4 linked regions of the Arabidopsis thaliana genome follow. The protein of the gene in region 1 interacts with the protein of each later gene in a pairwise test. Each region holds a gene or a part of one and is shown in the gene's direction. Other genes may lie near its edges. The genes, in order: NAC089, AT1G76520, FKBP15-1 and RABE1c.

Region 1 (7,415 bases):
AGAGCTGTAGGCATGAGTTTGCGGTGCTTACCTAAGAACAGACCTTGTGAATCGAAGAAAAGAACGGTGCAGTATAGCGTGTAGCCTTCCCTCTCTATCACACCCATAACCAAGTATACTTTGTACTTCTTGGCCATTAACGCTAATCGTTCCACTTCAGGGCCTAACACAAGATGGCACAGATGAATAAGTAGAATGTAATTTACAGTTTACACACACTTGGTGATTCAAGAAACACTATAACTAGTAGAGACTGAAACACTCAATTGTTAGTAGATGATCACACTAACAATTGTTGGGTTTATTGGCTATGAGATTGACCCATGTGAAAGCCCAAGTCACTGGGCCTTTCATAAGTTAAGCCCATGTGACTGTTGCTGAAATGATCTTATCTACAACTTCTTACTCTTGGAGCATCTGTGCCTCCCTTGAATGAAGCTTGTTGTGGAGTCACGGGTGGAGCAACCAAGCTACGTCTCTTGATGAACTGGTCAGATCTTGGTGATGCTACAAGCTCTCATGTAAGAAGGAAGAGGCATCTCCCTCAAAGCAACAAGAACCACCTTGATACCAAAAAAAAACAAGAACCACCTTGGTTGTTTGTTGCAGTTTCTGTTACAGTGTCGTAGTAGAACAGAAGCTGTTTTAAAGACGGCTTTGGTGAGAATTTATTAGATCTTAAGTGTGATAAGCTAGGAGATACGTGTGGTAGCTGAAAAGGAGGTTATGAGACACGTGAATAAGCAAAGAGAAGCATAGAAGTCATGTGAAAAGGAGTTAAAACAGAGCAAGAAGAAACAGATTTTGTAACCTCTTGTCAAGAGAATTGATGAAGTTATGCATGTATTGATGTGTTTTTAACAAACGTATGGTTTTATGGAGGAGAGTTAGGAGATCTCTTGAAAAAATCTCCATTGTTAGGGTAGTTCTTGAGTTTGTATCTTGGAATGAGAAGTGATAAAAGATAAGAGTTCATAGCTTCAAACTTATCAAATGGTGCAGTGAACGTGAATCGAACACGCGACCTAAGTGAATATAAAAGAGGGTTGCCTAGTTGTTCTATGTTGGTAGCTAGTTAGAGAACAATGGATTTATGTGGTAATAAGTGCGTGCCCTGGTATTCATGCTAAGATCCAAAATCGAAAGAAAAAAAGTGAGAACATAATCGGAGATATGGTGGAGGACTTTATTACCAGGAACATCAATGGCAGAAGCATGGTACTTGCGAAAGTCATCTCGTCCTTTAGCGGTACGAGAACCAATAGCCAATTCAAAGGTAGAGCCACGTGGATATCCACCGATGAAAGCCTCCGGGAACACCACTAGCTGAGATCCATTCTCCGCTGCCTCAGAAAGCAGTCTCTCTGCCTTATCTGACAAAATTTCGTGGATAAGGCATCGAAAGCGATCTCACCAACCATAGTGAATCAAAAATCGAGAAAACAGGAACGAACCTAGCGTGGCGGGAGTATCGTAGAAGACTGTAGAGGCTTGGACGACTGTAGCTCGTACGATGGAGGAGGAATCGCCGGCGGACATGTCAATCTCAGGGAAGATTTGATGGCCGTTGGTCTGTGGAGCCGCCGTCATGTGAGACGTTTCTTGTTGCATGGACATGAGAGAATCAGAGAAAGAGAGAGATTCCTTTTTTTTTTGTCAAAGAAGAAAGATTCCAATTGTGTTGTATCTTGTTTACTTGGTTGGTGTGTGTTTAACTTTGATATTATCGTGTATTTTATAAACTCTCTCTTTTTGTGTGTCGATTCTTTTTTAGTGAAGGGAAAAATGGGTTTAAAAAATCCTCATTTTCTCTAAAAACATTTACAATAACCATCACCTATATTGGTATTTATATGCATGCATATTGTACGATGGAGGAAGAATCGCAAGTGTATACGTCAACCACGGGAAAGATTTGATCGATGTTGACCGGAGGAGCCGCCGTGACTAGAGACATTTATTGGTGACTGGTCAGTTTGTCACCAATAAGATATATAGAGGAAATGAGTGATTCTAGTAGTAGTATCTTCTTGATGGGCTTGGTTGGTAGGTGTTTACTTGTACAACACATGATATATATTTTGATTTTTACTCTCTTTTTAACTGTAGGGGGAAATGCCAAAATGTGTAAAAAAATCCTCATTTTTTTCTAAAATCATCACCTATATTTATAGATTTTTTACAAAATTCAAAAGATAAAATACCCCCTCGATAACAAACCAACCTTAAAAACCAAACAAAGCGTTTGTTTATATATTTTGGTTGTTACTTGTTAGCATTCAATATTAATTATTGTTTACTTTTCGAAGGTATGAGGATTAGAAGATTAGATGTTTATCTCTTTTCTTAGTTTTAGACTTGATCTATATCCTTGGATGGTGTTATAAAAGGTATCGAACTCTTTCACGTATCATTAGCTTTTGACTAAAATATTGTTGAAGAGTTCTATTTTTTAGTTCAAAGGCCTATGAAAGGAGGATTTTTAATTCTAAAGAGTTTTGGTATGAAAAAACTCTTAAATCATATTATCGTTATCGATCATTGTTGATCTTGACAAAATATAAATTTGTTGCTGAAATAATTTGGAGAATTTCTTGTTATGATTGTTTATAGTTTCCGTTCATCATCAACTTTAAACTTTTAATTGTACGAGAAACTTTCAAAGTAATTTTTGGATTCACATCACCAAAAAAATTAACAGAACAGAGTTAACCACGTTAATATCACTTTAGTTTTTTTACAAATAATGATTTGAGTATAATTTGATCGTAATTTGTAACCCCATTTCATCATGGAAACAACAATAAAGTTCACTCATACATTTCGTTTTCCCTGTCGTACCTTGACACAGAAACATAGTCCACAGATTTTACTACTAATACTATTTCGAAGACGTACGAGGTTTTACGGAGGGAGATTTGCGAAAATTCACCTTTCTTGTTTAGCTTTTTTGAACATGAGTTTTTGATTAAACTTAACTATATGGAAAGTCTTGTGGAGCAGTTGAAATCCATCAAGAAGGATAAGTTTTCTTGTAATGATAAGTGGTTAACCCTTAAGCTTCAAATCAACAAAAACTTTGAGGTAACGCTTGTTGATTACGAGATCCTGAACAAGATATTTTGGGATATATAATTGTGAGCGATTGATCGATAGTAAGATTTCGGATATATATTGGGACTTTATCTGAAAACACTAAACAATAAGTCGTAAATTGGGAGTACGTAAAAACATTAAGGGTCTAAATGAAATAAAACCTATAATATAACTAGGTTTAGTGACGTGGCATGCACACGTAGATTAAGCAATGCCTTGGCAACACGTATGCAAAAACCCATATGTGTGCACCTGTGAAGTGTTCCAATAACAATTCAAAAGCTCCCTGAGCAAGTGAGAAGAGACCACACTGAGAAGAAAAATCCTTCAGGTTATCGAAAATTCCCGGATTTTACTCTTTGGGCGGTGGCCGATTTCTTACGCGCTCTTTTTGTGGCGACTGTTGTATACGCGCGAGCCTTCATGGACACGAAGGCGGTTGGAGTTTCTAAGGATACGGCGGCGTCGATGGAAGCGTCGACGGTGTTTCCTGGGTTTAAATTCTCGCCGACGGATGTGGAGTTGATTTCGTATTACCTGAAGCGGAAGATGGATGGCTTGGAGAGGTCCGTTGAGGTTATACCGGACCTTGAGATTTACAATTTCGAGCCTTGGGATTTACCCGGTTTGTCTTCGAATTCGAACCAATTGATTCTTTTGTGTCTTTCTTCTACTTGGAATTTGATTTTGTTGTTCTTCAGGCTTCAGGAGAGATCTCTATTTTGGGTGCCTAAGATATAAAGTTTCTATTTTTTGGCTCTTGGATTGGAATTGACAATTTTTTTTGTGTGTTTGTTCTTTGCAGATAAGTCGATTGTGAAATCTGATAGCGAGTGGTTCTTCTTCTGTGCGCGTGGGAAAAAGTATCCACATGGTTCACAGAACAGGAGAGCAACGAAGATGGGATACTGGAAAGCAACTGGGAAAGAGCGTGATGTGAAGTCTGGTTCTGAGGTCATTGGAACAAAGAGGACGCTTGTTTTCCATATTGGTCGTGCACCAAAAGGCGAAAGAACTGACTGGATTATGCACGAGTACTGCGTGAAAGGAGTATCTCTGGTAAAACTGTTCTCGAGAGTTTGTTTTTTCTTATAGATTAATTGTTAACCATTACATAAGAGGTGGTGACTTTGGCTACTTTTTGAGTCTCTAAGAGGAATACAGTAAAATTTTAGGAGTTTTGTCTTTGGCTTGAGTTGATTGATTATGTTTATGTAAATTCTAGGATGATGCTATGGTTGTTTGCCGGGTTAGGAGGAACAAAGAATACAATAGTGGTACAAGTCAGAAGGCACCAAAGCCAAATTCATCAGCCGAGAAGCATGCGAAAGTCCAAAATGGCGCTACGAGTTCAGGGAGCCCGTCTGATTGGGACAACTTGGTTGATTTTTACCTAGCAGGTGAATCAGGGGAGAAACTACTCGCTGAGATGGCAGAGTCATCAGAAAATCTACAGGTTTTGTCACCTGGCTTCTAATTGTTGTATGATGGTTCTTGATTGTTGTCGTTCTTCTTAATGAATGTTATGTGTGTGTGGTTTAGGTGGATAATGACGAGGATTTCTTTGCGGATATCCTAAGAGACGAAATCATCAATCTCGATGAAGCGGTGATGACAGGGAACACACCAAACGAAGTGCCAACACTAGAATCAGCATCAATGGAGATAAGGGTACTTCCTTTACCAAACATGATAGACAAACAAATGTCATCACTGTTAGAGGAAAGACCATCACAGAAGAAGAAAGGAAAAGACGCCACGGAATCATTGTCGAGCTGCTTCGTGGGTTTATACTCGATCAAATCAGTGAACAAGGCACGATGGGATGTTATTATAGGTGTAGTGGCTCTGATAGCAATGTTGTTTTATCTAGAATAAGAGGCTTATGGAAGTAGCGAAAAACAGTGTCCTAGCTATGTTTGTATCATCTTTTCTCGGACATTGACAAGGATTATATGATGTTTTTGTGTAAACGGTTTATGTTTTACACTTCTACTTCAAATCTGTGCAACCAAATCAAAACCTGAAATATCAAGCACAGAAGAACTAGTGGATATAGTTTTTACACTTCAAGGCTTATTAAGTGGTGTGTTTAATGAGAATCAGAGAATGGATAAATGATGGGGGCAAATTAGTAAATGACTATTTTCCAAATCCGTACTGTTTATCTTTCTCGTCCAGATGGTTGTTGCACTAAGATTTGTAGAATTTTCTCGCCGCCATTAAACCTCTGCTTTTGTTTCTTTCTCTCTTCTTCTATACGAGAACCCATTTTGGAGAAGTCAAGTTTCCTCAATACTCCGTCAAGCCGATTTTATTGATCTCGATCAGTTTCGTCAATTTTTCCGGTTTAAGAAACCCTAGAAAAGCTGATGATTCGATAATGAAGTTTGATTTCACTGTGATAAATCGATCTGTAAGTTGGAGATACTTAATCGTCTTCGTTATATCTTCTACGATGCTTCAATTTTGCTTTGTTGTGCTGAGGAAATTCAGTTTTTCTGTAGTATGTGTTATTTGCTTATCCTTAGTAAGTTAGTTACATATGAAGGAGATTCGTATTGAAACCCTAGGTCATTGATTTGATGGAGTTGCTTTTTATAGTATCAGCTTACACTGTTTACATTGTTCTACTTTTGGTTTTTAATTAGAAAATTTGAAGTGAGTAGGTGAATTTTAAGTCGCATCGATCTCATTTTCGATATATGTCTCAATTCGATTAGGCGTGGTCTTTGGATGTGTGTTTAGGATGGTATGAAATGGATTGATTGTGAAATTTGGAACAGGTTTTGTAAGAGCTGAATAGAAAATGTCGAGGCCGATCATGCTAGTCTTTCTTCTGGTTATACTTATAGTCACTTCTCAGTTTGAATGGAGGCAACCACTTCTTGAGCTTGATGCAGCTCCTAGCTTGTCTCAGAAACATCAGCAAATTGCAAAGAGGGAAGAAGCTGTCAAGGAGAAGGTACTTACTTCATTCTTAAACTCTTTTTCATTGAAGTTTTGTGTGTTCAGTTGTATGAGAAAGACCTGAGAATTCGTTTTGGGATTGTGACTTATAGATTAGTACAACTGTAGCAGAGATATGCATAATTGGATAGTGTCAGTTAACTTAGAATGCTCTGATGCTTAAGATTCCTATATCTGCTTCACTTGCCTTTTGAGTCAATCTATAACTATGCCTTAGTAGTTGTGTTGTTGACTTTATCCTCGACATTCTAGTCTCATGAGTCTCTGGACAAACATTCTTTGTAACTGGCTTTCATATCTCTATCTTCTTCTTTTTGAGAATGTCTATGGAATCCATCAATGACTGATCTGAGTTTTTAATGTTGCATAGAAATATTCGGGGTTTTTTTGCCTTCTGTTGTGTTTTCCCTGATTGCATCAAATAGATGAGGTTAGTGGAGAAACATAGACTTATTGGTCTTGCAACCTTAAAGTTCCATTGGATGTATGACGAACCTCATAACTTCAGCATAATTTTGAACCTGAAAATAGAAGAAGACCTGTCAATTCTTAGTTTGTTAATCGTTACAGATCATCTTGTCACAAGAGAGACATATCCAGAGGCTAAACGACCTTGTACGAAGTCTTCAAATGCAGTTACAGCGATGCAAAGGAGAGAACGAGACACGAAACGCCACTGAAACCTCCCATAATAACAAACAGTTCATTGAGCTCGAGAGGAAACACATCGTGGAAGACTAGTATTTCCTCCGGTTACATCAATTCTAATAAATAACCCAAATGGTACGTAAAAACTGTTGTAATTTACTTTTGTTGTGTTAAAAACCTTGCTGATGTTTTGATTAGAAGGATGATTTACTTTATTCACGTGTAAGATTGAGATATTTAAGTACTTGTAATAAAAGTTGAGAATTAGGGTACTTGTAATATCTTTAGTTATGGTTGATTGATTCTATCATTGTCGATGTCTTGGTATAGTCAAACTTTGGTTGTGTGTAGTTAGATTTTTACTTTGACTGATGAGGCTAACGAAAGTCTAAGATGACAAAAGCAATCTTATGTCATATTCTTTCCATGATTTCATCACTAGTCAGAGCCTAAATAAATCTCTTATTAGACACCAACCACAACTCCATATTTGTTCTAAGTCAAACAAAACCAAATCTCCCATGAATTTTCACATACTCATTTATTATTCTTCCATTTTACTATTTGGCATTCTAAAAGTCAATAATATTAACAGTCAAAAGCCATTCATCTGTTTTTGGTCAATCTTTCTATCATTTGTTGGCCGTGCGTCTAGCCGTCAAGCTATCCAAATTCATATTCACCAATACTTATCAATTTTT
Region 2 (8,837 bases), on another chromosome or scaffold:
AGAAGGCTACTAAACCACGACATAAATGATAACGAAACCAGCTAGTCTCAGACACACTACTGACAAAAGGAGCAAAAGAACATTGTCTGAATCGAACATGTATGAACTAAACTGAACAAGTACAACCTCATTAATATCAATGCATATTCAGTACTTAGACCAAAAATGAAATTCACCTTTTCATAGAAAATGCGGAATGTCCAGGAGACTGTAGTGCATGTTCTGAATAACAAAAATGTGGAAAGTCAATTTCATACAAGAAAGCGGAAAAGGTTGAAGATTGAGGACAATACAAGCCATACTTTGGAGGATGGAACGATTCTCCAACTTGCCGCCATAGCTTAGATGTGGTGACCTATATAAGAAAATGAAAATCATAGGAATTTTGAATACCACAGACATAGAGTTTCAAGCAACGTGGGCGGTGGGATAGATTTGAGTATAAACTTTCAAACAGAGTAGATGACACTAAGCAAGTTCAGTTGCCAAAACACAGACCTAACATAATTAACACATAACTGCATTGACTTAATTATTTCCGGAAGCCATTCCTTGTTCTTAAATCATCTTCTCATTCATTAGCTATAGTTCACACGTTATACAACCCAAAACGTATAAATCGCATGACCTGTAGATAATAATCTAAAAGATTTTTAACCTCCTAAAGGGGAAGAGGGAGGAGAAGATCTTAGTAAACATAAAATCATTGGAAGTTCGAAAGTAGATCATTACCACATCGTAGCCACCTAACTTGATAACGGCTCTCCAAAGCCTACATTTCAAAGTAAAGCATGCAGACGTTATCACGTCAAACAAGGCATAACCAAAAGTATGGAATTTTCCAAGAATTAAAGCAACACTTCCAACAACTCACTTGAGACAATTTAAGGGCTGTCCGTAAAACTTTGGGGCTTTAAATTCCAGGAAATTCTCCTTGTTGAAGGCCTCCACTTCTTTAATAAACGCCTCTTGATCCTGTGGTGCCCCTGCTTCATCAACTTCCCTGGCCTGTATAAAAACGTGAACTCGTGATGAAATAGAGCCACTGTGATGACCACAGATCTCACAAAAAACAATATTCAACGCTTAACGCAAATGCAGGCAGACTAGTTGTCTGAAATGTGACAGAAAAGTGCTCTCATCACCTCAGCATCACTCAACAACCATGTCTTCCACTTCTTAACACTTTCTTCAGGAACATGAGGACTCGACGGATCCCCCTTCAAAGGATTTGATTCCCCAAGTGTTGTCTCCTCTTGACCGCCATCACTAGTAATCTTCTTTTCAGACTGATCAACATCACCATTCCTCCCATCAACACTGTTCTGACCACCAACCTCTTCATTAGCCTCAATTTGATTAGCAATGGGAGCATCAGATAAATGAACATCACTATCCAAAGTATGAGTCGTATCCTCTGGAACAGGGGACTTAGGTCTTTCAATAGAGTTTAGGTCTTTCTCTAGTTCTGAAGGCTCCTCTACAACACCTTTGGTACCAGACGGCACATCTTGCTCTTGCATTTCAGTATCCGCCATCATGAAGCTAATTCTCTGAGACATAGCATCACAACAACAACGCAGAATTCAAAATCCAGAAATCATAAATAGAAACGCACTATTGATAATTCCAGAGAGAATGCAAGACGCATGTAATCGAGAATTGGAACGCATCAAAACTCTGAGTCCTACTCTCTCACTGATTCGCTATAATTCAAACAGTGATGGCGACTAAAGCATTAGAAAGCAGAGCTTCACGAAATCATGGAGTACATACATAGAAACAAAAGATACGGTTACCGGTTTCGCCGGAAGAAGAAGACGCCGGAGACGGTGGAGTCGTCGCGGGTTAGGGTTCGATAGCAGCCGGCGAAATGGAAGGACGCCGGCGGAGAAAAAGAAGCGAGAAACGGAAAGATATCAATTAAACGGAGAGATATGCAGATCAAAAGATTTATACGGATGATATAATGAACACATGAATTCATTAAGAAAGAAATTAATGCTTGTTACTTGTATTAACTCTTAACGAAGATCTTAATAGCAAAACTTATTAATGATATTTCAGAAAGTTGGACTTTTACGACCCATTTACATAACAAAGCCCATTATTGTAAACTATGGGCTCAATATGTAAGGTATATTATGAATATAATCTTAGGCCCAATTAAACACGGAAGACAACGTAGGTTTCTGCTTGTCTCGATTGTTGTTGTGTTTTTATTTGTTACTAAAGATAGAGAAAGAAATATCGAAGCATTGTGCGTTCATGTTCAATATAGAGTTTTTGTTGTACCAAAAAAATATAGTGTTTGAATCTTTAATTATAGACTAGCTAGCATATAATTAACGTGATTAACTTTACAATTATGGTGATGATGATTTTCTCAGTATGTAGGTATAGTACTTGTCAAAGTGACAAATAATTGCAATTTAATGAATTGGTGTGGATCCAAAGGATAACAAATAGTATGAGCATATTCATTCGAAGCAAAATGGTACAGAATTAAGCAAAGCTTTTTGTCCAAAATTCTAATGAATTAAGGACCATTATTTTTAGGGAATAATAGTCTTTGATGCCCCACATTTCCAATAGTACAAATCAAGATTTTCAATATATGTCAAGTTTGTTATTTTCATTCACGGACATTAAAACGAGTGGAGCATTTCAATTTGACATATCTTTGTCCTTTTCTTTTTGTTACAGATATCTTTTGTTCACGTTCTTTGAATCATCATATTCATAGCTATGAGATCATAGAAATATCAAATACTGTTAATTAACCTCTTTAAAAATACATATTCACAAGTCTCTTGTGTGAGTAGAAATCCTATACAAACAAGTTTATTCATGCTCTAATAAGATAGATAAATAAGAAGATAGCTCATGACATGGCCTTCATTAGGCTTGTTGCATATACAATAAGCTTACATATAAGGAATTAAGGATGGTCTAATATCTCTTGCTTCACATGAGAAGAGTTATAGGATTCGAGTCACATAAGAGATTTTTATTGTAGTGTGTATAATATATCCCACTTCTACAATTATCCAGTCTATTGTGTATTTTTCATTAATAAATCACTAAAATTTGCACTTTGACAATATATACTTAAATATTTGTATCTCGTATATATATATATACATATTTTTAGCACTGTATGATAATTCTAATTATTCGCTAATTGTTTTTTTTTGGTAAGAATTAGTCGACTATTTTGATATTGGGGTTGTTACATTTATATCTTGCATTGAATTTTATGGACGGACACTGGTCGCAGCCTCACACACTAATTTGAATTTTCCGTTATCATTAATATTCGATCGTTTCGTTGGTACGCTTCCATCACACAATTAATTTAAGCCACCACACTATTATCTTATTCTCATTCAGTTTTGTTTCCATTTCAAATTTCTTACGACGCATATGAAAATGTACATTTTTATAACAATTCCCCTTAAAAATAGATGACAAAAAGAAAAATGTTTTTTTTAAAAAAATATATAAAATAAAATAAATAATAAATCTTCAACAATCGATGAACACTTTGCAATATCTCCACACCTTGGGCAAGAACCAGAAAAAAACATGGGGCACGTTTCGTAGTCGATGTGACGAAAGGCATGACGACGGTTACCATATAAATTCGTCTTCTCAGATAAAGCCTTATTATTCTCAATAGTGTTATACGACAATATACGAAACAAACAAAGACCCCGCTTGAGTTGAGTTTTCCAAAAATTGTGGAACTGTTTCCTCTTTCTTTTTGTACATAAACTAGGTTACAAAAAATTGGAAAATATACAAAATCAAAGGACATAAACTTACGAGATATATCATAACTCATAAGTTGTGAAAGTTGGAATTCAAAAAGGAGCTAACTATGAATCTATGATACGTTATTTTGTTGCTTATACGGAACAAAACAATTCCAAAAACAAAGAAGATGTAAAAGTCTGACCCGGATCATGCGGACACCAAGTTGTACATACAAAATATGTAGGATGAAAATATGAAATTCTCTTCCCATATGCATAGAATAATAATTTACCTTAGTTAAAAAGATTAGTTTCTAAGTTTGCCCCAAATAAAGAGATTAGTTTCTTGAAAAAAGCATTTTGTGGATAGACAAGAATTTAAATAGAATGAAGAGGCGACCATGCAAGTGTTGTACTAGGCCAAATTTTGGAGACGCTCTTTCTCTTTCATAGAGAGAGAGTGAGAAAGTTCTGATACGGCGGCTTCTCACTGTCATCTAGCTGTACCACTGACGATAAATCTCTCTCTTCCTCTAAATCGGTTAAAAAATTCATTCCCTTCTTGGATTGCTCTGTTTTCTTCGGCGGTTCTTGCAGCTCCATTGATTCTCTGTTTCCTCTGCTACAGTTAACTTATACTTGCAGATTCTCGCGTTGATAGTAAAAAGATGGTGAAGCTTTTGGAGCTGTTCATAACTTCATCAAAACCAGTCGTTGAGATTCTGTTGATAACATCAGTCGGATTTTATATGGCTCTCGATGGAGTCAATCTTCTTGGTCATGATGCTCGTAAATATCTGAACAACGTCAGTTAATTATCACTTAATTTTACTCTTTTCTTTAATAAATCTAAATGATTCAACTTTAATATGTCTCTGTTTTGTTATCATTTTCTTGATGTGTGTGTATATAGATTGTCTTCTATGTGTTTAGTCCTTCGCTTATTGGAAGCCGTTTAGCTGATAGTGTTACATACGAAAGCTTGGTCAAAATGTAAGTCAATCTCAGATTTTGCATCTTGAGTCTGTAATCTTTGCTCTTTGGTTAATGAAAATGAGGATTTGCAGGTGGTTCATGCCGGTGAATGTTCTGCTTACATTCATCATTGGTTCATTACTTGGCTGGATTGTTATTGTCATCACTAAGCCTCCTTCACACCTTCGTGGTCTCATTCTTGGTTGTTGTGCTGCTGGTAACAAACCTTAACATGAATGTTTCTGATTTCAGAATCTGTTTAACTTGTGTTTTGCTTATGACTGTGGTAATGAATGAAACAAAACAGGGAATTTGGGGAATATGCCACTGATTATAATCCCAGCTGTTTGTAAAGAAAAAGGAGGTCCCTTTGGAGATCCTGAGAGTTGCCAGAAATATGGAATGGGTTATGTTGCTCTCTCCATGGCTGTAAGTTCTTCTTCTTCTTCTTCTTTGTCTTCTTCTTCTTCAAGGTTTTGTAATCAGTATGTCTCATGACAGTACTTGGTAACGTATCAGATGGGATCTATTTACATATGGACTTATGTATACAATCTTATGCGTGTGCTATCGAACTCTCCCGTTGAAACCCCTCCCTCTGTTGAATCCAACTACGACAGCTACAAAGTTCCCCTTATTTCTTCCAAGGAAGAAGAAAACAACCAAAAGGTTTCATCACATATGCACATGATCAGTAACTATTCATTTATCAAAGTTGGTAGTGACTGTGTGTATATGACAGGCTGGGAGGTGGGAAAAAGTCAAGCGGAGATTGGTTTCACTGTCACAAAAAGTCAACCTTAAGACAATTTTTGCTCCATCAACTATTGCTGCGGTTTGTGTTTCAATGGCTCTGTTTTATACATTTGAGACGTCACTCACACTAGTGTAATCTTTCTAATTACCCTTTTTGTTCTTCTGTTTCCAGATGATTGCACTTGTGATCGGGCTCATTACTCCTTTAAGGAAGCTAATAATCGGCACGGAAGCTCCTCTCCGGGTGCTTCAAGACTCAGTAACTCTAGTGGGGTAACTGCAGCTAAAATTAGACCATTATCTTAGCATTAGCTCAACAATGAATCATCTCTTGGAAAAACGTAACTCACTCATTCGAAAGCTTCTTATGTGTCTTGTTTCTTTTGGCTGAAGAGATGGGGCAGTTCCTGCAATGACCATGATTATAGGAGGAAACCTACTCAAAGGTTTGAGGAGTTCAGGAATGAAAATGTCCAGTATTATCGGCGTCTTGGTTGCGCGTTACGTTTTACTGCCTATGAGCGGTGTTTTAATCGTAAGAGGAGCATATAAGTTGGATTTAGTTACATCAGAGCCCTTATACCAATTCGTTCTTCTTCTTCAATATGCTGTCCCACCAGCCATGAATCTAGGTTCATTGCTCTGAAACCAACTCTTTAAAAAATACAGTTACTTCTTTCAGATAAGATCACTTCATTAGTTTCACTTACTCTTGCAGGTACAATTACTCAGTTATTTGGAACTGGGGAGAGTGAATGCTCAGTGATTATGCTCTGGACTTACTCTTTGGCTTCGATTGCACTCACTGTTTGGCCAACATTCTTCATGTGGCTTGTAGCTTAGAATAGACCCCCATACTCATCATGTTACATGTATTGTTTTGTTCCATTGATTCAAGAATTGTTCTTGGACTTCCAGATGATTGGATCAAGTATAATAGAGAACATATACTTATAAGTCTTTTGATACGAACTTTGGACTTACAGTCTGTAACTTACAGATAGAAGATCAAGTCCAGCCTCATCAAGAATCTGCTATTTTGATCCTCATTGTCTTGGGATCCATCAAGAGATTGTGAGGCTTAAAATCTCTGTTATGATACCCAAATCATTCTCTCTTGAAACAGGGTAAAACCAGAGAACAATCTACTTGACTACTTGTGACTGTGGCCATGGCAGAAAGCTATTCCTTTGTTTAGTTTGGTACACCTGAGAAAAATTTCAGATTGTTACATTTGGTTTAATAGACTATTACATATCAGTCAAGTGAGTACAAATGATGAGAGAAAAGAGTGGTGACAAAAAGCTCTAATTGGTGGATTTTGTGATAAATTTCTTTACATCTGTGTCCATGTATCTCAAACCTAATCGTACTCTAAGATCAATTAATGTCTCATCACGTCATATTTGAGATTTTGATGTATAACCTTCCACATCAGGGCTAAAGTGCATGCTAGACTCCAAGATATACTATATGTAATATATAAATTTGTAGCTAGTGAAACTGTGGAAAAACAAAAATTATAGTACTGAAACATTTTAGTTTATGAAACGATTCTTCAGAAAATAGATGACAACAACAGAAGTTTTTTTAAAATCAACGTTATTGTTCTTTACCATACGGTAAACACAATGCGACATATCCACATCTTCAGCAAGAACCACAAAGTAACATGGCACGTTTCCTAGTCGCTGTGACTAAAGGCATGACGATGGTTCCCTTATAATTTGTATTCTTTTTTTCTCAGATAAAGAGTTGGTGGTTATGATACGTTGGTTTTTTCATACGGAACAAAAATAATACTTACTCTATATCTCTCCTTCACTCTTCCTCTAAAAAGGTAACTATACCATTTCATTTGATTTCTCCATAAGTTATCGTCGTTTGGTTCATTGTTTCTTTATCTCAAATCATGTAATATATGGATTAAGTTTGCAGATTCTAACTTTTGGAAGTAGAGATGAAGCTTTTGGAGTTGTTCATAGCTTCATCGAAACCAGTTGTGGAGACTTTGTTGATAACATCAGTTGGATTTTATTTGGCTCTCGACACAGTCAATCTTCTTGGTCATGATGCTCGCAAACATTTGAACAACGTCCGTTTTTTAACTCTCTTCTTTAACAAATAATCTAAAAGAGTTAACTTAAATTTCTCTTTTGTTTGTGTATAGATTGTCTTCTATGTGTTTAGTCCTTCGCTTATTGGAAGCCGCTTAGCTGATAGTGTTACATATGAAAGCTTGGTCAAAATGTAAGTCAATATCAAATTTTGCATCATCTTTAAGCTCACTTGTTATAATGAAAATGAGGATTTGCATTGCAGGTGGTTTATGCCGGTTAATGTTCTGCTCACATTCATGATTGGTTCGTTACTCGGCTGGATTGTTATTGTCATAACTAAGCCTCCTTCACAGCTTCGTGGTCTCATCATTAGTTGTTGTGCTTCTGGTACAAACCTTGACATGATTTTAGAATCTTTTTGTCTTTCTTTGTATCGTATGTTTTGCTTATGAATGTGATGATGAATGAAACCAAAAACAGGGAATTTGGGGACTATGCCTCTCATTATAATCCCAGCCATTTGCAAGGAGAAAGGAGGTCCCTTTGGAGATTCTGAGAGTTGCGAGAAATACGGAATGGGTTATGTTACACTGTCCATGACTGTTAGTTCTTCCTCTCTTGTCTCTCTTCAAGGCTTTTTTTATCAGTGTGTATAAACATGACACTAATTGGTATGTATCAGGCGGGAACGGTTTACTCATGGACTTATATATAAATCTTATGCGTGTGCTATCAAACTCTCCCGTTGAAACACACACACACTCTATTGAATCCAACTATGATGACAGCTGCAAAGTCCAACTAATTTCTTCCAAGGAAGAAGAAAAAGAAGAAGACAACCATCAGGTCTCATTAATCAACAACTCTTCATCATCATCATCAGTGTTATTCATTTTGGCAGTGACTTTGTGTGTGTTTGACAGGTTGGGAGGTGGGAAGAAGTCAAGCAAAGAGTTGTTTCTCTGTCAAAGAAAGTCAACCTTGGGTCAATATTTGCTCCAGCAACTATTGCTGCAGTTTGTGTTTCAGTGGCACCTTTTTTATATACATTCAAGACATTCACACTAGTGTATATCTTTCTTATCTCTTCTTCTTCTGTTTTCTCAGATTATCGCGCTTGTGATTGGGCTTATTACTCCTTTAAGGAACCTAATAATCGGCACCGTAGCTCCTTTCCGTGTGATTCAAGACTCATTAACCCTATTGGGGTAATTGTAGAATAGTCTCATTATCTTAGAAGTAGCTCAACAAATGATTCATCTCTTTGAAAAACTCACTTTTTCTGTGT
Region 3 (7,630 bases), on another chromosome or scaffold:
ATTCAAAAAGTTAAAAATCTTGGTCGTGAAAAGAAAGAAAGGATAATGTGTTTTGGATTGAAGTTTTGATGATCATGAAACTGATCGGAGCTGGCAAAGCCACAGACTTGACGATAGGCTTAAGGCATATGGATTTTGAATATAATTAAACCATGCGAGAAGTAAAGATTCGTTTGGCAACCAAAACATATATTCAAAGAATCATAAGAAGAAAATTTATAACCCTAATTCAAAATAGACTATCGATACAGCTTGGTCGATGATTTTTTCACGTTAATTCAAACGATTCCAAACTTTACAAAATCTTACATATATGAAATACAAATCTTAAATACAAACGTATAATCATAAACAGAAAAAGAAGAAAAGAATCATACAAGTGCATAAAAACAAATATAAATTAAGACTTTGAAGGAGATTGATGCAACGAGTCTTCGTTCCTAGATCGTATGGATCCTCATAACGACGACACTTAATGGTCAACACCACAAGGGAAAAAAGACAAGATACGGCGAAAAGTCCTAACGGAATTAAAACTTTGTTGACGAACAATGTATCCATCGTTTGCTTCTTTTGTTTTGTTTGTGTCCTTCTTTTTATGCTTTATATATAACCTACGAAACCTAATGCTAGTTTTTTTTTTTTTTTTTTTCTAACATTACTGATAATTATTGTGAGATTACAAAAGAGTAATCTTTATTTTATTTTTCCTTTTCTAACACCATTGATAATTATTGTGAGATTACAGAAGAGTAATCTTTATTTAACCGCTCTGTATAGTTATAAATTGTAATCAATTTTATTTTATTTTTTATTTAAATTCTTTTTCTTTTTCTAATTGATGTAAGAATTACTTTTATAATGTATCCTTAATCAACATCTAGAATTGTCTTTTTCGGTATTCTGTATTCACTATTATAAATACAGTCTTTAGCATAATCTAAATAACTAATCATTAAAGTAAGTGAAAGTCTCTTTGATATAGTGGTTAACCAAAGGTTTATTAATATTTTTACATCTAGATTTGGGGTTTGAGTTTTAAAAAATAAGATTAATGATGCAAAGCTTATCGAATGTCCAAAATACCACATGTAGAGCTGTTTGTAATGGTTTGAGCGTTGTAGAGAAAGCATGTCATACATACATAATTATGTCCATCACAAGGATGTCATACATACATAATTATTCCTTGAAATCTGAATATTGTGGAATGAGTTGCAGCGTGGAATCGTTGTTCGTAAGAACTGTTCATCGTAATCACATATGCGTAGTTAAGTATCATTATAATAATTAATAAGAATAGATTACATATATAATTCAAAAAAAATCATTAAAGTAGAATGATATAATTGTGAAGAAAAAAAAGTATAAAATAAAATTTTAGTTGAATGAAACTATGTTTGAATTTTATTTTTTTAAAAATCTTTGATTGATTGAATTCAATTTTCGAACCCAAAATAACATATCGTTTAACACACTTTGATATCTTGAATTTTAATTTATATAACTCTTATTTTCTTTCTTTAGTTATTTTTCCCTTATTCTTTTTCCAGTTTATCTAAACAAAAGGTAATTAATTTCAAAATTCGATAAACCCTACTATTTGACATCTTCTACGAACGGGCACACCGGAGAATCAGCTTCTCGTTCCGTACGATGTCGGCGACACTCCGACGCCTCATTCTTCTCACCTCCACAAATCGCTCCCGTAATCTATCTCCGCCGTTTCTTTCCACCGCCGTGAACCACCTATCTCTATCATTCTCTTCCGTCTCATCTTCACCGGAATCACACACTTCCCCTTCCCGGATCCGAACCCGAACACCACTCGAAACTCAATTCGAAACATGGATTCAGAATCTAAAACCAGGATTCACAAACTCCGACGTTGTGATAGCGTTACGAGCTCAATCCGATCCAGATCTAGCTCTCGACATATTCCGATGGACAGCTCAACAACGAGGCTACAAACACAATCACGAAGCTTACCACACTATGATCAAACAAGCAATCACCGGAAAACGAAACAACTTCGTCGAAACGTTAATCGAAGAAGTAATCGCCGGAGCTTGTGAAATGAGTGTTCCTCTCTACAATTGCATCATCAGATTCTGTTGTGGTCGTAAGTTTCTCTTCAATAGAGCTTTCGATGTTTATAACAAAATGCTTCGATCAGATGATTCAAAGCCTGACCTTGAAACTTATACTTTGCTACTAAGTTCATTGCTTAAGAGATTCAACAAATTGAATGTGTGTTATGTGTATCTACACGCCGTTAGATCGTTAACGAAGCAGATGAAATCGAATGGTGTGATTCCGGATACGTTTGTGTTGAATATGATTATCAAAGCTTATGCAAAGTGTCTTGAGGTTGATGAAGCTATAAGAGTGTTTAAAGAGATGGCTTTATATGGCTCTGAGCCTAATGCTTATACTTATAGTTACTTAGTTAAAGGGGTTTGTGAGAAAGGTAGAGTTGGACAGGGTTTAGGGTTTTATAAGGAGATGCAAGTCAAAGGAATGGTTCCGAATGGGAGTTGTTATATGGTTTTGATTTGTAGTTTGTCTATGGAGAGGAGATTGGATGAAGCTGTTGAGGTTGTGTATGATATGTTGGCGAATTCGTTGTCTCCGGATATGTTGACGTATAATACGGTGTTGACGGAGTTGTGTAGGGGAGGTAGAGGGAGTGAAGCTCTTGAGATGGTTGAGGAATGGAAGAAACGGGATCCGGTGATGGGTGAAAGGAATTACAGAACGTTGATGGATGAGGTTTATTTTTTGAATAAGGGATGATTGATTGGGTTCTGTTTATCTGAAAGGCGATCAATCGGCTAAGCTTAAGGGCTACAAGATGGGGGGGGTTTGTTGCAAAGTCTGTGTTCTGCACTCTAGTTAGTGAACCCCAAATCTCAGTAATGATCTGAATCATAAGGGTTATCAAGTTTTGAGCTTCAAGATTCTGTGTTCTTGAGATACATAACAGGTTGAAGCATAGTGTGATTGGAAGACTGAAGATCTCAAGCCATGATAGCTTAGAGATATTCTGTAATTGCAATTTGATTCAAGGATTCAAAATCATGTTGTCTTTGTATCATGTTCTGTGTAAATGAGGTCTTATGACAATCAAGGATATCAATTGTTACTGACACTACTTGCAAACCAAAAGCTGTTCAGCATGATTCTTAACGCCCTTTTGTGTATTATTACTGTTGATGCACAACTATAACATTTGCTGTTACAGGATCTACATTTTCAGACAGGTCACAAGATTCTTATGTTAGCTCAATATCTCATACGAGCATTGGTTACAGTTTATTCTATTTTAATGCTCTAGATATATCTCTTTGTGGTTTTATTGATTCTGACTGGATTCTGCATCTTTATAGGGGATTCTCTTGTTTTTTGGGAAGTCAAAGAAACAGTCCATTATTTCTCGCAGTTCTTCTGAAACAAAATACAAAGCAATGACTCATGGACAATGCTGCAATTATTTCTACTACACATTGCTAAGAATCATGTTTCCCATAAAAGAATTTGAACACATTGTTCTTGAATGCATTAGTTCTGATTTCATGAAAACTTTACATGTTTGTTCTAAAAACTCCATTTTGGTTGGAAGGTTTAAAAATTGATTTGTAACATATATCGTTTCTGGAAGCTTATAAGTTATTAGAAGATGATAATGGTCATAGTTACGTTTTCTAGTTTGTTCAATGACTCTGGAGTACACATTTGTTCATTCAATGAAACTGAAACAAAGGTACAAAGTACAATGTGAATGACTCCGTGATCTGCCGCTTAAAACACGTTAGTTTTTTCTTCTTGGGACACCGCTTGAAAACACGTTAATTAGGTGAATCTGTGGATACACATATGGGCTTAATGGCCCCTATATATAATACGATGATAGGCCCATTACATTTAGTTGTCTTCCACAACAAAAGAGTACCCTGAAACAGATCTTTCGTATAATCAGTGACGTAGAGATCGAAGACGATGATGAGCTCTGCATCCGCCATGAAAGCTGTTGGATTTTTGCTTCTGCTTACCATTCTAACATTAGGTAAATACATCTCTTCTCTTTTTGCGTCTTTTACATCCTTATCGATTTCGATTTGATTCAATCTCATAGATCTGATCTCCGTTGATTTGTGATGATGATGATGATGATCTTCAGCTTATGCGAAGAAGTCAGGTGATGTGACAGAGTTGCAGATTGGTGTTAAGGTGAGACAAAACGCTATTTCCACGTCTATGATCTTATCTACTCCATGTTTGATTCTCTGTGTATGAGTCTGTTCGAGTGACATTGAGTTTGATCTCAATTTTGCGTGATGAGATGATGATAATGGTCATTAATCATTATTACGTAGTTTAATATCAAATTCATTTGAAGTTGGTCTCAATTTTCGTGATTAGAAGATGTTTATGGTCATGATTACGTAGTTTAACTTCAAATTCATTTGGATTTGAGCTCAATTTGCGTGATTAGAAGATGATAATGGTCATAGTTACGTTTTATAGTTTTATTATTACTTACAATCATTCTAGAGCTTTTTCTAGACAGTTTTTTGCAATTTGCATCAAGCTATATACTTGAGTTTTGCATTTGTTTTCGAAATGAAGACATTGGAAATGGATTTGGCTTCTATACTCTTTTGGTTAATGCAGTTTCCTGACCCTTGCATGGAATTGTTGTTTCTATTTTACAGTACAAGCCTCAGAAATGTGATCTCCAGGCTCACAAAGGGGATAAGATCAAGGTTCACTATCGGGTAAGTTTTATTTGAAGCTTCTACTACTACTAGTTGTTTAACTTATTGCTGGGAAGGTTCTTTCGTGCTTGCTTGATAGTATTTTGATTGAGCTAATAGAAGAGCCATGGAAGGGATTTTTTCTTATTGCAACATTTAAGAATGTTCATATAACATCAGGGGCATGGTGAATTGCTGAAAATGTGGAATGAACTTCATTAGTATTTAGTAAAAATGTTGATATTGGATAGCTTAGAACAAACAATAATAATGAATGAATCTGATCTAAAAAATGCTTGGCGAATAACGTAGTTCTCTGTTGCAGGGAAAGTTAACTGATGGAACTGTCTTTGATTCAAGTTTTGAGAGAGGTGACCCTATTGAGTTTGAGCTTGGAACTGGTCAAGTCATCCCAGGTTTGTTGCTATTTCATCGCATCAACTCCATCTTTTTCCTTCGTTATTGTTACCTTTTTTTTGACTGACAAAATTGAAGGTAATGCAATTAATTCGAAATGTTGCAGGATGGGACCAGGGTTTATTGGGAGCTTGTGTAGGTGAGAAGAGAAAGTTGAAAATCCCATCCAAGCTTGGTTATGGTGATAACGGCTCACCACCAAAAATCCCGGGTATGTTATGTTATGAACCTGGCTAGTAGATTGTTTATTTCCGTCCTTTTATCTAATGATGAGGCTAGAGAGAACATTGATACTGAATTGATCAGTCAAATAAAAATTGCTGTACACGTTAAATGACAAACCAATAACGCATTTGTACCGTAAGTGCATCAGAACCAAGAATAGGGAGATAGATACTGAGAGTTGTTGTGTTGTGTAAATTTTCGACCCTAGCTGCATTTGTTAAGAATGTGACATTACAGTTGAGACTAGATGTTCCATGAAATGAGTGTAAGTGGATGGTGAATTGCAGGTGGGGCGACACTGATATTCGACACCGAGCTTGTTGCTGTGAACGGAGAACCATCCAGCGAAGCGAAATCAAAGAATGAGCTTTGATTACACCATAATTGTTTTTCATTTAAAAGGAAACCTTGAGTAGTCATCGATGTTGGCATTTGAATCTTAAACAGCCTAGAATCATTTACTTTGCTAGTTGAAGACAATAATTATATTTTGGTCATAACATTAGTTATGTTGGCAGTTCTAAAATGACAACTTGGCCAGAATAGAACGACGTGCAATCGCAGATAATCAGAAAAACATTGGCCAATTTAGTAAACATGTACAATCTTCCAATTGTTTACGGTGCCCCTCTCTCAGTCCCACGTTGGATCGGTTTTTGGGCTTTTAAGTCTAATTTAGTGAATATTGACCGACCCAATTGAGTTTTTTGGGTTTATTTGTTTGGTTCTGTCTATTGTCATCGAATCCTTTCCTTTAGGGTTTGTTTCTGCATCTTCAATTTGTTTCATAAATCACACATAAACAGGGAACAAGTAAAATACTTCTTTGGTTTTATATTTGTTTTGTTAAGGTTAACCTAACTAGTTTTCCATAAAGAGAACGAGAACTAACGAGTTTGCGCTATATCGATCCTCATTGAATGACTAAGATATCCAATCTTCCAAGGGATTTGGCGGAAGAGGTGCTCTGTAGAATTCCGTTGACGTCTCTGAGAACTGTTTGATCTTCTTGCAAAACGTGGAACACGTTATCCAAATATGAGAGCTTTGCAAAGAAGTACCTTGGTGATCAAGCAAAATTAGCTGCAAAGGAAAGAGAGTTTATGATGGTCGTGATGATGAATTTTAGGGTTTAATTGATGAGAGTCAATCTTCAAAACAAGGTTGAATCATCATGTATAAAACGTGAAGCTAAACTTATTAGTTTAGGCGATGAAGTTGATATATCTCAAGTCTTTCACTGCAACGGTTTATTGTTATTCATCAGCATCACCAAAGACAAGACTAGGCTAGTGGTTTGGAACCCGTATGATTGGGGACATACCCGTACGATCGAACCCACACATAACTGCCACATATTCAATAGGTATAATATATGTATGCTCTCGGATACAACAAGAGCTAGCAGCTAATCCCACAAAATCTTGAGGTTTGTTACTTACTGGATGAGGGTTATGGATGAGTTCATAATCTACGATTTTAACTCTGATTCATGGAGGGTTCTTGATGTCACTCCAGATTGGACGATAAGTTATATGAACCTTGGCGTGTCTCTCAAGGGAAATGCATACTGGTTTGCTACTGAGAGATATTCCGAAACAGACGATTATTTCTTAGTCTGTTTTGATTTCACAAGAGAGACATTTGGGCCTCTTTTGACTCTTCCGTTTGTGTTTGTTAAATCTGAAGATGTTATGTGTGTATCTAATGTTAGAGAAGAGCAGCTTGCGGTTTTATATCAGCCGTGGGATAAATAAAAGATGGAGATCTGGATTACGTCTACGATTGAGCCCAACGCGGTGTCGTGGAACAGCAAGGTGTTCTTATCAGTGAGTATAAGAAAACTCATTGGCCCTCCGTTTCAGTTTTGTTTGGGGAGTTTCTTCATTGACGAGGAGAAGAAAGTCGCTGTGGTTTTTGATAAAGACTACAAAGATAAGCGCAACATAGCTTACATCATTGGAGACTTTGGAGTCGATGGATCCTTTAAAGAAGGGATCTCGGAGAATCAGCCTACGCAATGTGTTACCCACTTATGTGCTCTTATGTTCCAACTTCCAAGTCTAGTGCAATTTAATTAGTCGACCATCTACTTCTTGCATATTTTTGCTCGTTTTTTTTTCCTACCTAACCATCTAGTTCAAACATTATCTTTTGCTAAAGTTGGGAAGTGTGGTGGAAATGTCTTCTCCTTTTTTTTCTTGTAATGAGTCTTGTACGGTGGTGGTTAT
Region 4 (8,226 bases), on another chromosome or scaffold:
CAAGAGACGTCGGAGCGGCGGCTACTACTTAGGTTTCAGGTTAGTAATCGCCGGAATCTCCATCTCTCCTCTAATCCGATGAACTGCTTTATTGTTTTGTTGGAACACCGGCTTAGTTAATCTCCCCAATTTGATGTTTCTCCAGAGAATCTAGATTCCAATGTCATTTTCAGAGTGTGTAATTTTTAGGGAATCGAATTCGTTCCCTCTGTAGATGTTTTTATGTACATGTCAATAAGATTCGTGAAGCTGTTGATTTATGTTTTTGCAGTTTTTGAAATTTTGAAGAATGGTGAGAATCAGTGTGCTCAATGATGGTCTTAAGAGTATGTACAATGCAGAGAAGAGAGGAAAGAGGCAGGTTATGATCAGGCCTTCTTCTAAAGTTATCATCAAGTTCCTTATCGTCATGCAAAAGCACGGTATGCTAGTAACTTTGCAGAGCTAGCGTTTGATTCCTGTATACAGTTTTCAAGTGTAATGATGCTTCTTGGTTTTTAGGTTACATTGGCGAGTTTGAGTATGTTGATGACCACAGGTCTGGTAAGATTGTTGTTGAGCTTAATGGAAGGCTGAACAAGTGTGGAGTTATCAGTCCTCGTTTCGATGTCGGTGTTAAGGAGATTGAAGGATGGACTGCTCGTCTACTTCCTTCCAGACAGGTTAGTCTAGAGACTATATAGTAGTGGTACCAATCAATGTTTTAGCTATTGATCTGCTGCCTTACTTTGCTGTTCCTATTATGGTTTAATTGGATGTTTAGTGTCATTACTTTGCCTTACTTTATCTTTCAATGTTACAACTTCATTGAACACTTCTCTATGTGCAGTTTGGTTTCATTGTTCTGACGACCTCAGCGGGAATCATGGATCATGAAGAAGCTAGGAGAAAGAACGTTGGTGGCAAAGTTCTTGGGTTCTTTTACTGAAGCAGGGTCTCGAGATCTATCTTATCGGGTTATAGTTTGGTTCTCTGTAAGTCGATTGACCTCACTGTCAAAGTAGTAGTTTTATATGTTGTGGTCACTCGGATACGTAAAAACTTGGAGATGAGTAGACTAATTAATTTCAGTTTTTGAATTCGTTAGACTTGCGATTTATGAAATCAAAATCATCTTTCTTGACTTATCGTTATATGTGGCATTTACTCATTTTAGTCTCGTGCTCTTCTTGTTTGTTTTCTTAAAACATTTTAATATGTTTTTCATTTACAATGTTCATCAAAATACAAACAAATCTCTGAGGGAACTGTGAAAATTCGAAAAAGATTTTAGAAATACTGACAAAATAAGTTAAAATTCTAAGAAACAAAATTTAATAGTTTTCCTTCCAACAAGGTTTCTATGCTACATAGGTATAATTTTAGGTATTCTTCGTTAATAAATTTGAAGGAAATAACTAATAACGCACAAAAACCCTAAATCAAAAACCTAAGAAGACGTTTACCAGAAACAAAAAAACTAAGAAGACAATGACGACGAAAGAGAAGAATAAATCATCAAACTCACCGCCTCCGACGTCGTTTTCTTCGTTACCGGACGACATCGTTCTCAACTGTTTGGCTCGTGTCTCCAGATTCCATTATCCAACTCTATCCCTAGTCTGCAAGGGTTTCCGATCACTCCTAGACTCCCGTGAGCTCCACGCAACACGATCTTGCATCGGAAAAACCGAGAGTTTCCTCTACGTCTGCTTAGACCTGCATAGGAATTGCTATCCAGACTGTCCTCCACGATGGTTTATAGTTTCCCCGATTACCAAACAGAAACTGAAACCTATCCCTTCGGTTACTTGTCAATCCTCAACCGTTGTATCAATCGGTTCAAAGATTTACATAATCGGAGGCTTCGTTGATGGACATAGTAGCAGGAGATTGATAGTACTCGATTGTCCATCTCATGGATGGCGTAGACTCCCCGAGATGCGTGTACCTCGACAAAACGCAGCAGCTGATGTAATCAACGATAAGATCTACGTGATTGGAGGCTCTAGTTCCAACAATATCGAGGATTGGGGAGAGGTTTATGACCCAAAGACCCAAACTTGGGAGCCAGTATTGCCCACAACACTAGATCTTACTGTTCAAATGAGTGTGGTTCCAGGTAGCTTGGTAATGAGTGGGAAAGTTTATGACATGAATGGATTGAAGCTTAACTTTCAGAAGAATATTTGCTTGGTGGAGATAGAGAACATGATGTGCCAAACAAAGGTTTGTGAAGGGGTGTTAGTTTGGTGTGAACCAGAGGAAGATCGTGGGTGGTGTCCGGTTGATGGACTTGAAGGACTTCCCAATAGGCCAACTTCTCCTGGTTATCTTACCTCGGTGGCACATTCCGACCGAGGAAGAAGAGTAACAGTTTGGTGGGAGTCGGCTGTGTTACATCGTCTAGGTCCCAAATGGACTAAGGAATGTAAAACAGAGATTTGGTGTGCAGAGATTTCGTTTGAGAGACGCGGTGTTGGAAAGGTTTGTGGATTTGTTGAATGGTCTAAGAATGTCTTTACTAAGGATGACTACAAAACTTATAAGTTACCTGCTTCTCTTTCTGATTTCTTCTTGAATTCTACCATTGTGACATATTGATCAATGGAAGTTTATGTTAATTTTTGAGAGAGTTTTAAATTCTTTTGTGGGGATTTTGTTTAGAACATCTTGAGTATAGATTTTATGATAATGAACGAAAATACTGGTGGTGTTTATGTATCTCTAATAAATATGCAGTTGCGTAAGAACATAAACATCAACACACTTCTTATGAAAGAGTTATATATTGTTGAAAAGTATAGTTGTATAGTAGTAGTATATATTTCCAAAGATGACTTCAGATTACATTAGTATACAGTAGTAGTATTTGATACCAAATATAAAAATAAAAATTACTATAGCATTGTTTTAGTCCAGCTAATTGATTTTAAAGTAATTAATAAAAGGCCCATAAGGCTTCGTGCCTTCTTCTTTCTATATAGGCCCTTCAAAAAAGAATCCTTCTCTCTTTTTCTGCGCACTCCTTCGTTTCCAACTAACGTGCGCAGTGTATCCTATCGTGCACGCGAAGCAGACGAAGAAGAAGTAAAATAGAAGAAGCCGGGAAACAAAAGCTAAATCGGGAACTGGCGCATTTTAGTCGTCCGCCATAACCTTCGCTCTCTGATTCTTCCGATTACATCGGTTTTCTTCTCTCTCCGGTACATGATCTTCTTCTTTCCCGCAGCCGATTCATTCGATTTCTCCCTCTTTTGTTTGATCTAATTCGATTTCGATGAAACTCAGATTTTGATCTTTGAGTTTTTGTTTCCTTTAGATTCAATGGCTGCTCCACCTGCTAGAGCCAGAGCTGATTACGATTATCTCATTAAGCTTCTTTTGATTGGAGATAGCGGTACGTTGATCTGAAACCTCTCCGATGTTTTTATCGTCGATCCGTTGAAATTTGTTGAATCTGTTTGATTTCCATTGAATCGATCTATTCCACTGTGATTTTTGTTTGTGATTAGATCGTTGTGTGGATCGGTGTTTGTATTGAGAGATCTCTGTAACCTAAGGTTTTTTTTTTTTGTTGCAGGTGTTGGTAAAAGTTGTCTTCTTCTACGTTTCTCTGATGGATCTTTCACCACTAGCTTCATTACCACCATTGGGTTTGTGTTTTCTCTTTGCTTATGGAGATAAATTGAATTCTGTGATGTTTGTTTTGGATTCTGTTTTTACAGAGTCTTGTTTCTCTATTTTGCTTTGATGTAGCATTGACTTTAAGATAAGAACGATTGAGCTTGACGGTAAACGTATCAAGCTTCAGATTTGGGATACCGCTGGTCAAGAGCGGTTTCGGACTATCACCACTGGTGAGTTCATCTTTTTCATAAGAATTGCTTGCTGGATTAGTACTTAGAGCATTCACAACATCAGTAATGAATCAGATTAGATAGATTCTCGAGGAGATGAACACTTACATGTGCTATGATCTCTTGTACAATGCCACTTGACTGATTTATTTTGTTTGGCTGATTACTTTACTTGGTCTTGTATAGTTGATGTTTATGGGCTATTTTCGACACTTCATAGTTCATCTTTTCGTATAAATGTACTCACTGATCACTTTGCTTAGCATTCACCATCACAATAGAAGTCAAGTTAGAAAGATTGTCAAGATGAGATTGATGACAAACGCCTATAAGTAGTCTAAGATAGCCACTTATAGTTCTAGGTAAAGGGGATGCATTTGTGCAATGCCAATTTACTGATTTGCTCTTTTTGGCTGGTTACTTTTGTAGGTACTGTCTAGTTGATATTATTAGGATATTTAGGCAGTTTATACTGATCTGTTTCTGTTGTTTCAACACCATTTTGACGATTCTTTTTCTCTCGCATTTTCGCAGCTTATTACCGTGGGGCAATGGGCATTTTGCTGGTGTATGATGTCACAGACGAGTCATCCTTCAACAGTAAAACTCCCACCATCAAGTCTTTCACTTACTGGTTTCTATAAATCTCCTTAACCAAAATGAACATCTCTTTTACTAACACGATTCTTGACGTTATTGCAGACATTAGGAACTGGATTCGTAATATCGAACAGCATGCTTCGGATAATGTTAACAAGATCTTGGTAGGGAACAAGGCTGACATGGATGAAAGCAAGAGGGTATGAAGCACACCACCTTTATCCCTGTTCCTTATTCACGACTGATCCTAATAATAATAGCTTCTTGGTCCTGTCAAAATTTTCAGGCAGTACCTACAGCAAAGGGTCAGGCTCTTGCTGATGAGTACGGAATTAAGTTCTTCGAAACAGTAAGTCTAACAATGCTCTCAATCTTCGAAACTAGATGGGTAGTGTTTACATTGCTTACACATCTAGCTATATATGTGTTGTTGTTGCAGAGTGCCAAGACAAACCTAAACGTGGAAGAAGTTTTCTTCTCAATAGGGAGGGACATTAAGCAGAGGCTTTCAGACACCGACTCGAGGGCAGAGGTTTGTTACATCTCTCTCTTTCACATCTTTGCGTTGTTAGGTCTGAAAACGCATTGATCATTCATGTTACGTGGTCAATTGCAGCCTGCAACGATCAAGATAAGCCAAACGGACCAAGCAGCTGGAGCAGGGCAGGCCACACAGAAATCTGCATGCTGTGGAACTTAAAAAAGTTTTAAAAGTGAAGTTTAAGTCGAAAAAAGTTTGGGGGTGAAGTGAAAAACTAAGATATCGTTGGGTGCTTATGTAATTTTTTGTTTTATGCCAACAATTCTGATTCGTTCTTCTAAATTGTCCTTCCTATTTGTACGAAGGTTTAATCGAAACTTGTATTTTTCTTTTCTATTACTGATTTTTTATGACGGTGACTGAATTGTTTATGTTGGTCATCACTTCTCTCTATATATCCTCTGTTCTTAATTTTTCTCTTGCTTCCTCTTTTATCAAGTCTTTAAACATTACTTCTAATACTCGTAAACTCATCTTTGACACAACCATAAGCAATACAAAACCATAATATGTACACTGCCTGATTTATGAGTCGTAAACGTATAATTGTGTTAGCAATCCAGTGATGAAGAAACTTATCATGTTTTAGTTGCACTACAGTTACTATAGCTGACACTTATATTGTAGTTTCAACACCAGTTAAACCATTCTCATAGTTCAACAACATTCTAGGGTTAATAAAACGTGAAACCAAAATTTAGCGAACAAGAAAATAAATCTTGAATAGTATATCAGATTGTATTCAGATCATGTATTCACATCGAATAGTAAGATAAATGGATCAACAAAGACTAAAACCATGTAAAAAGTACTACTCTATGTAAGATTATCAATAAAACTAAAACCCTAACGAACATGAAAAATCAGTACATCGTTCTTCCCAACTCCAATTCCGTGTTGACAAAGCTCTCCACCGAAGTTAAGTCGAAATCCAAACACGCCACTCTCTTCCCACTACTCGATTTCTTCAAAGTCGTCACCGTTGTCGTCTCCGGCATGAAAGAATGCGTAACCAATACGTTAGAAGCCTTTTCTCGTTCTTTCTCGTTCCTATGTTTCCTCATGTGACCACCAAGAGCTTGTCCCATCGGAAACTCCAAGCCACAAATCGGACAAGTATGAGCCGTCGTCGTAGTCGTAGTTTTAGGCTTCTTCTTTGGTGATCCAGGAAGTGATTTATCGTCACTGTTGGTTAGTTTCGAGTGGCTTGCACGGTGGCCTCCTAAAGCTTGGAACGAATCGAAGTCTCTCTCACAAGTCTTGCATCGGAAAACACGTTTCTTTCTTCCGTCGTGTTCTCCAATTCCTGATAACAACATCAGACAGCTCGCCGCCGTATCCACCGTCAGATCACGATTATCACTTTCAGCAACCATGATTTTAGTTTCGAATCGAGCGAGTGACTTTCTAGGGTTTTGTTTTATGCTTGTGTGTGTTGACTCACTCCTCTTATATATAGGAGACTGGATTGAGTAAAGACGGTTTTAATTGACGAAAATACCCTCTCAAGACTTGCTGCCTAAGTTAGTAAAAATTGAAGCTGCGGTGTAAAGATGTACATGTAGAAAATCAGAGTCACCGCTTTAACACTAAAAACTCGGAAAAATGGAAATATTCATTTGTGAAAGAATATATTCTTATTGCTTTCCTCCACTAATTAGACAAATATTGAAAGACGTACTATAACCAGTTTTAATTATTTTTATAAAAAAAACAAGTTTTAATTAATATATAAATATGTATATTATATATAAAAAATATTGTAATTATCTTAATAAATATTTTATTCTAACGCGGTCTCTTCGGGTTCGTGTTCCTTCTTAAGCCGCCTTTTACTATTTGAGATTGGGCAAATCTACTTGGTACGTAACTTATCCGTATTCATTTATCACCAAGAAAAAGAAAAAAACTTATTCATAGTCGACATACTTCTAGAACTTTTTGTTGGTTCGATAGTCAATATTTATGTTCAGTTTATTTGTGAAACTCATGTCCTAGTAATTACACTTACACGCATATTATTCATTTGTATATACTTCGGAATCTTCTGACCTACGTCTTTTTATTCGCAATGATCAATAGAACTCAAGACTTGAGAAGATCATCGTGTCATTATCTAACTAAGATTTTGTCACAGTAACGTACGTAAATGAGGGACAAGTAGAGGTGTGTGGCTCTCGCACGAGTCACCGAGAAGGGAACGAATAAAAAGTGTGAAAATAGTGGTTGTACGGAAACTAGAGGGAAACTATTAGAAGCAAAGCAGAAGAAAAAAAGAAAATGAGAGAGTGGTTTGATGCGACATTTTTGATACACTTCCACGCGGTTTCTTCTTACCACAAATCTCTTCACATGTTTTTATTCACAAATTAGGTTTATCTCTCATATTCATCTCCCACTAAATAAGCAAATAGAGACAAGGATGTTATATCTGTAAGCATTTAGCTAATATCTAATATAAGAATACATATAAAATTAAAATTAATAGAAACATTTTATTGTTGAAGTTTACTACACACAGACTTCTCTAAGCATCTTACCTATTTATTTTATGTGCTAGTTTGACTGTTTAAATTAATTTTAACTTCATTATTTATATTCGACACATTATTCAAATCTCAATGCAATGATTCAATCTCTAGTTTGACGATTAAAAATTTGAATAGTTGATAATTCTTTTAATATTAGTCTATAATCTAAAGATAACGGGTGCCAAAAAAAAAAACTGAAAACAAGAAAAACTTTGAGAACATTTAGGAATCATAACTACTTATTAGAACGATCCAAACTTGAAGATTAACTAATTTGAACCTTTTTTTAACAATTTCTTCCCTTGGATGTGCGATTCTTGTAAGAGAGAGTGGAGAGAGGTTGGTTAGCTTAGTCTTGTCTCTGGTTATACTTGTTTCAATTGTTTTCTTGTTGTTGAAGTTGACCACACATATAATGGTTTCAAGTTTCAACACTACTTAAACCATTCATAGATCAAACTTCAAGGGCTAATTTAAAGAAAACAAGAAAATTAGTGTACATTGAATGTAAACTCCAATAGTGTATATCAAAATAATATTCACATCGATCGGTAAGATAAATGGATCTACAAAGATTACAATATGAAACTGTATGAAAATATGTTAAAACCCTATAACGAATATGAAGAAATAAAACGAATCAAGAAATCGTTCTTCCCAACTCCAACTTCCAATTGACTAAACTCTCCATCGAATCTAAGTCCAAACAAGCCAC

The links.
Region 2: the proteins of NAC089 (region 1) and AT1G76520 interact in a two-hybrid assay, tested with the Arabidopsis thaliana proteins (one large-scale study listed by BioGRID).
Region 3: the proteins of NAC089 (region 1) and FKBP15-1 interact in a two-hybrid assay, tested with the Arabidopsis thaliana proteins (one large-scale study listed by BioGRID).
Region 4: the proteins of NAC089 (region 1) and RABE1c interact in a two-hybrid assay, tested with the Arabidopsis thaliana proteins (one large-scale study listed by BioGRID).

What each region holds. Positions count from the first base shown.
Region 1 is NC_003076.8:7,373,603-7,381,017, reverse strand, and holds NAC089 (NAC domain containing protein 89), read left to right. Parts: upstream 1-3,241; 5' UTR 3,242-3,519; coding exon 3,520-3,721; exon of another isoform or gene 3,722-3,901; coding exon 3,902-4,155; intron 4,156-4,321; coding exon 4,322-4,552; intron 4,553-4,638; coding exon 4,639-4,974; 3' UTR 4,975-5,179; downstream 5,180-7,415. Other genes in the region: NIT4 (nitrilase 4), read right to left, coding at 1-163, 1,194-1,373, 1,455-1,617; AT5G22280 (peptidyl-prolyl cis-trans isomerase G), read left to right, coding at 5,906-6,061, 6,492-6,746. UniProt on the Arabidopsis thaliana protein: Transcription factor involved in plant cell division.
Region 2 is NC_003070.9:28,710,958-28,719,794, forward strand, and holds AT1G76520 (Auxin efflux carrier family protein), read left to right. Parts: upstream 1-3,807; 5' UTR 3,808-4,426; coding exon 4,427-4,564; intron 4,565-4,671; coding exon 4,672-4,751; intron 4,752-4,825; coding exon 4,826-4,950; intron 4,951-5,040; coding exon 5,041-5,162; intron 5,163-5,252; coding exon 5,253-5,402; intron 5,403-5,475; coding exon 5,476-5,568; intron 5,569-5,661; coding exon 5,662-5,762; intron 5,763-5,882; coding exon 5,883-6,121; intron 6,122-6,207; coding exon 6,208-6,332; 3' UTR 6,333-6,953; downstream 6,954-8,837. Other genes in the region: AT1G76510 (ARID/BRIGHT DNA-binding domain-containing protein), read right to left, coding at 108-222, 303-355, 733-772, 875-1,008, 1,146-1,541; AT1G76530 (Auxin efflux carrier family protein), read left to right, coding at 7,450-7,584, 7,660-7,739, 7,812-7,936, 8,030-8,151, 8,183-8,395, 8,473-8,565, 8,657-8,757. UniProt on the Arabidopsis thaliana protein: Involved in cellular auxin homeostasis by regulating auxin metabolism. Regulates intracellular auxin accumulation at the endoplasmic reticulum and thus auxin availability for nuclear auxin signaling.
Region 3 is NC_003074.8:9,178,692-9,186,321, forward strand, and holds FKBP15-1 (FK506-binding protein 15 kD-1), read left to right. Parts: upstream 1-3,924; 5' UTR 3,925-3,999; coding exon 4,000-4,066; intron 4,067-4,180; coding exon 4,181-4,230; intron 4,231-4,715; coding exon 4,716-4,778; intron 4,779-5,082; coding exon 5,083-5,173; intron 5,174-5,280; coding exon 5,281-5,385; intron 5,386-5,686; coding exon 5,687-5,772; 3' UTR 5,773-5,988; downstream 5,989-7,630. Other genes in the region: AT3G25210 (Tetratricopeptide repeat (TPR)-like superfamily protein), read left to right, coding at 1,657-2,796; AT3G25221 (uncharacterized protein), read left to right, coding at 5,997-6,101. UniProt on the Arabidopsis thaliana protein: PPIases accelerate the folding of proteins. It catalyzes the cis-trans isomerization of proline imidic peptide bonds in oligopeptides.
Region 4 is NC_003074.8:16,914,602-16,922,827, forward strand, and holds RABE1c (RAB GTPase homolog 8A), read left to right. Parts: upstream 1-2,925; 5' UTR 2,926-3,185; exon of another isoform or gene 3,186-3,301; 5' UTR 3,302-3,306; coding exon 3,307-3,379; intron 3,380-3,562; coding exon 3,563-3,635; intron 3,636-3,738; coding exon 3,739-3,839; intron 3,840-4,373; coding exon 4,374-4,439; intron 4,440-4,541; coding exon 4,542-4,639; intron 4,640-4,725; coding exon 4,726-4,788; intron 4,789-4,878; coding exon 4,879-4,971; intron 4,972-5,055; coding exon 5,056-5,139; 3' UTR 5,140-5,417; downstream 5,418-8,226. Other genes in the region: RPS15AD (ribosomal protein S15A D), read left to right, coding at 290-422, 502-662, 830-928; AT3G46050 (Galactose oxidase/kelch repeat superfamily protein), read left to right, coding at 1,471-2,583; AT3G46070 (C2H2-type zinc finger family protein), read right to left, coding at 5,844-6,356; AT3G46080 (C2H2-type zinc finger family protein), read right to left, coding at 8,152-8,226. UniProt on the Arabidopsis thaliana protein: Involved in membrane trafficking from the Golgi to the plasma membrane.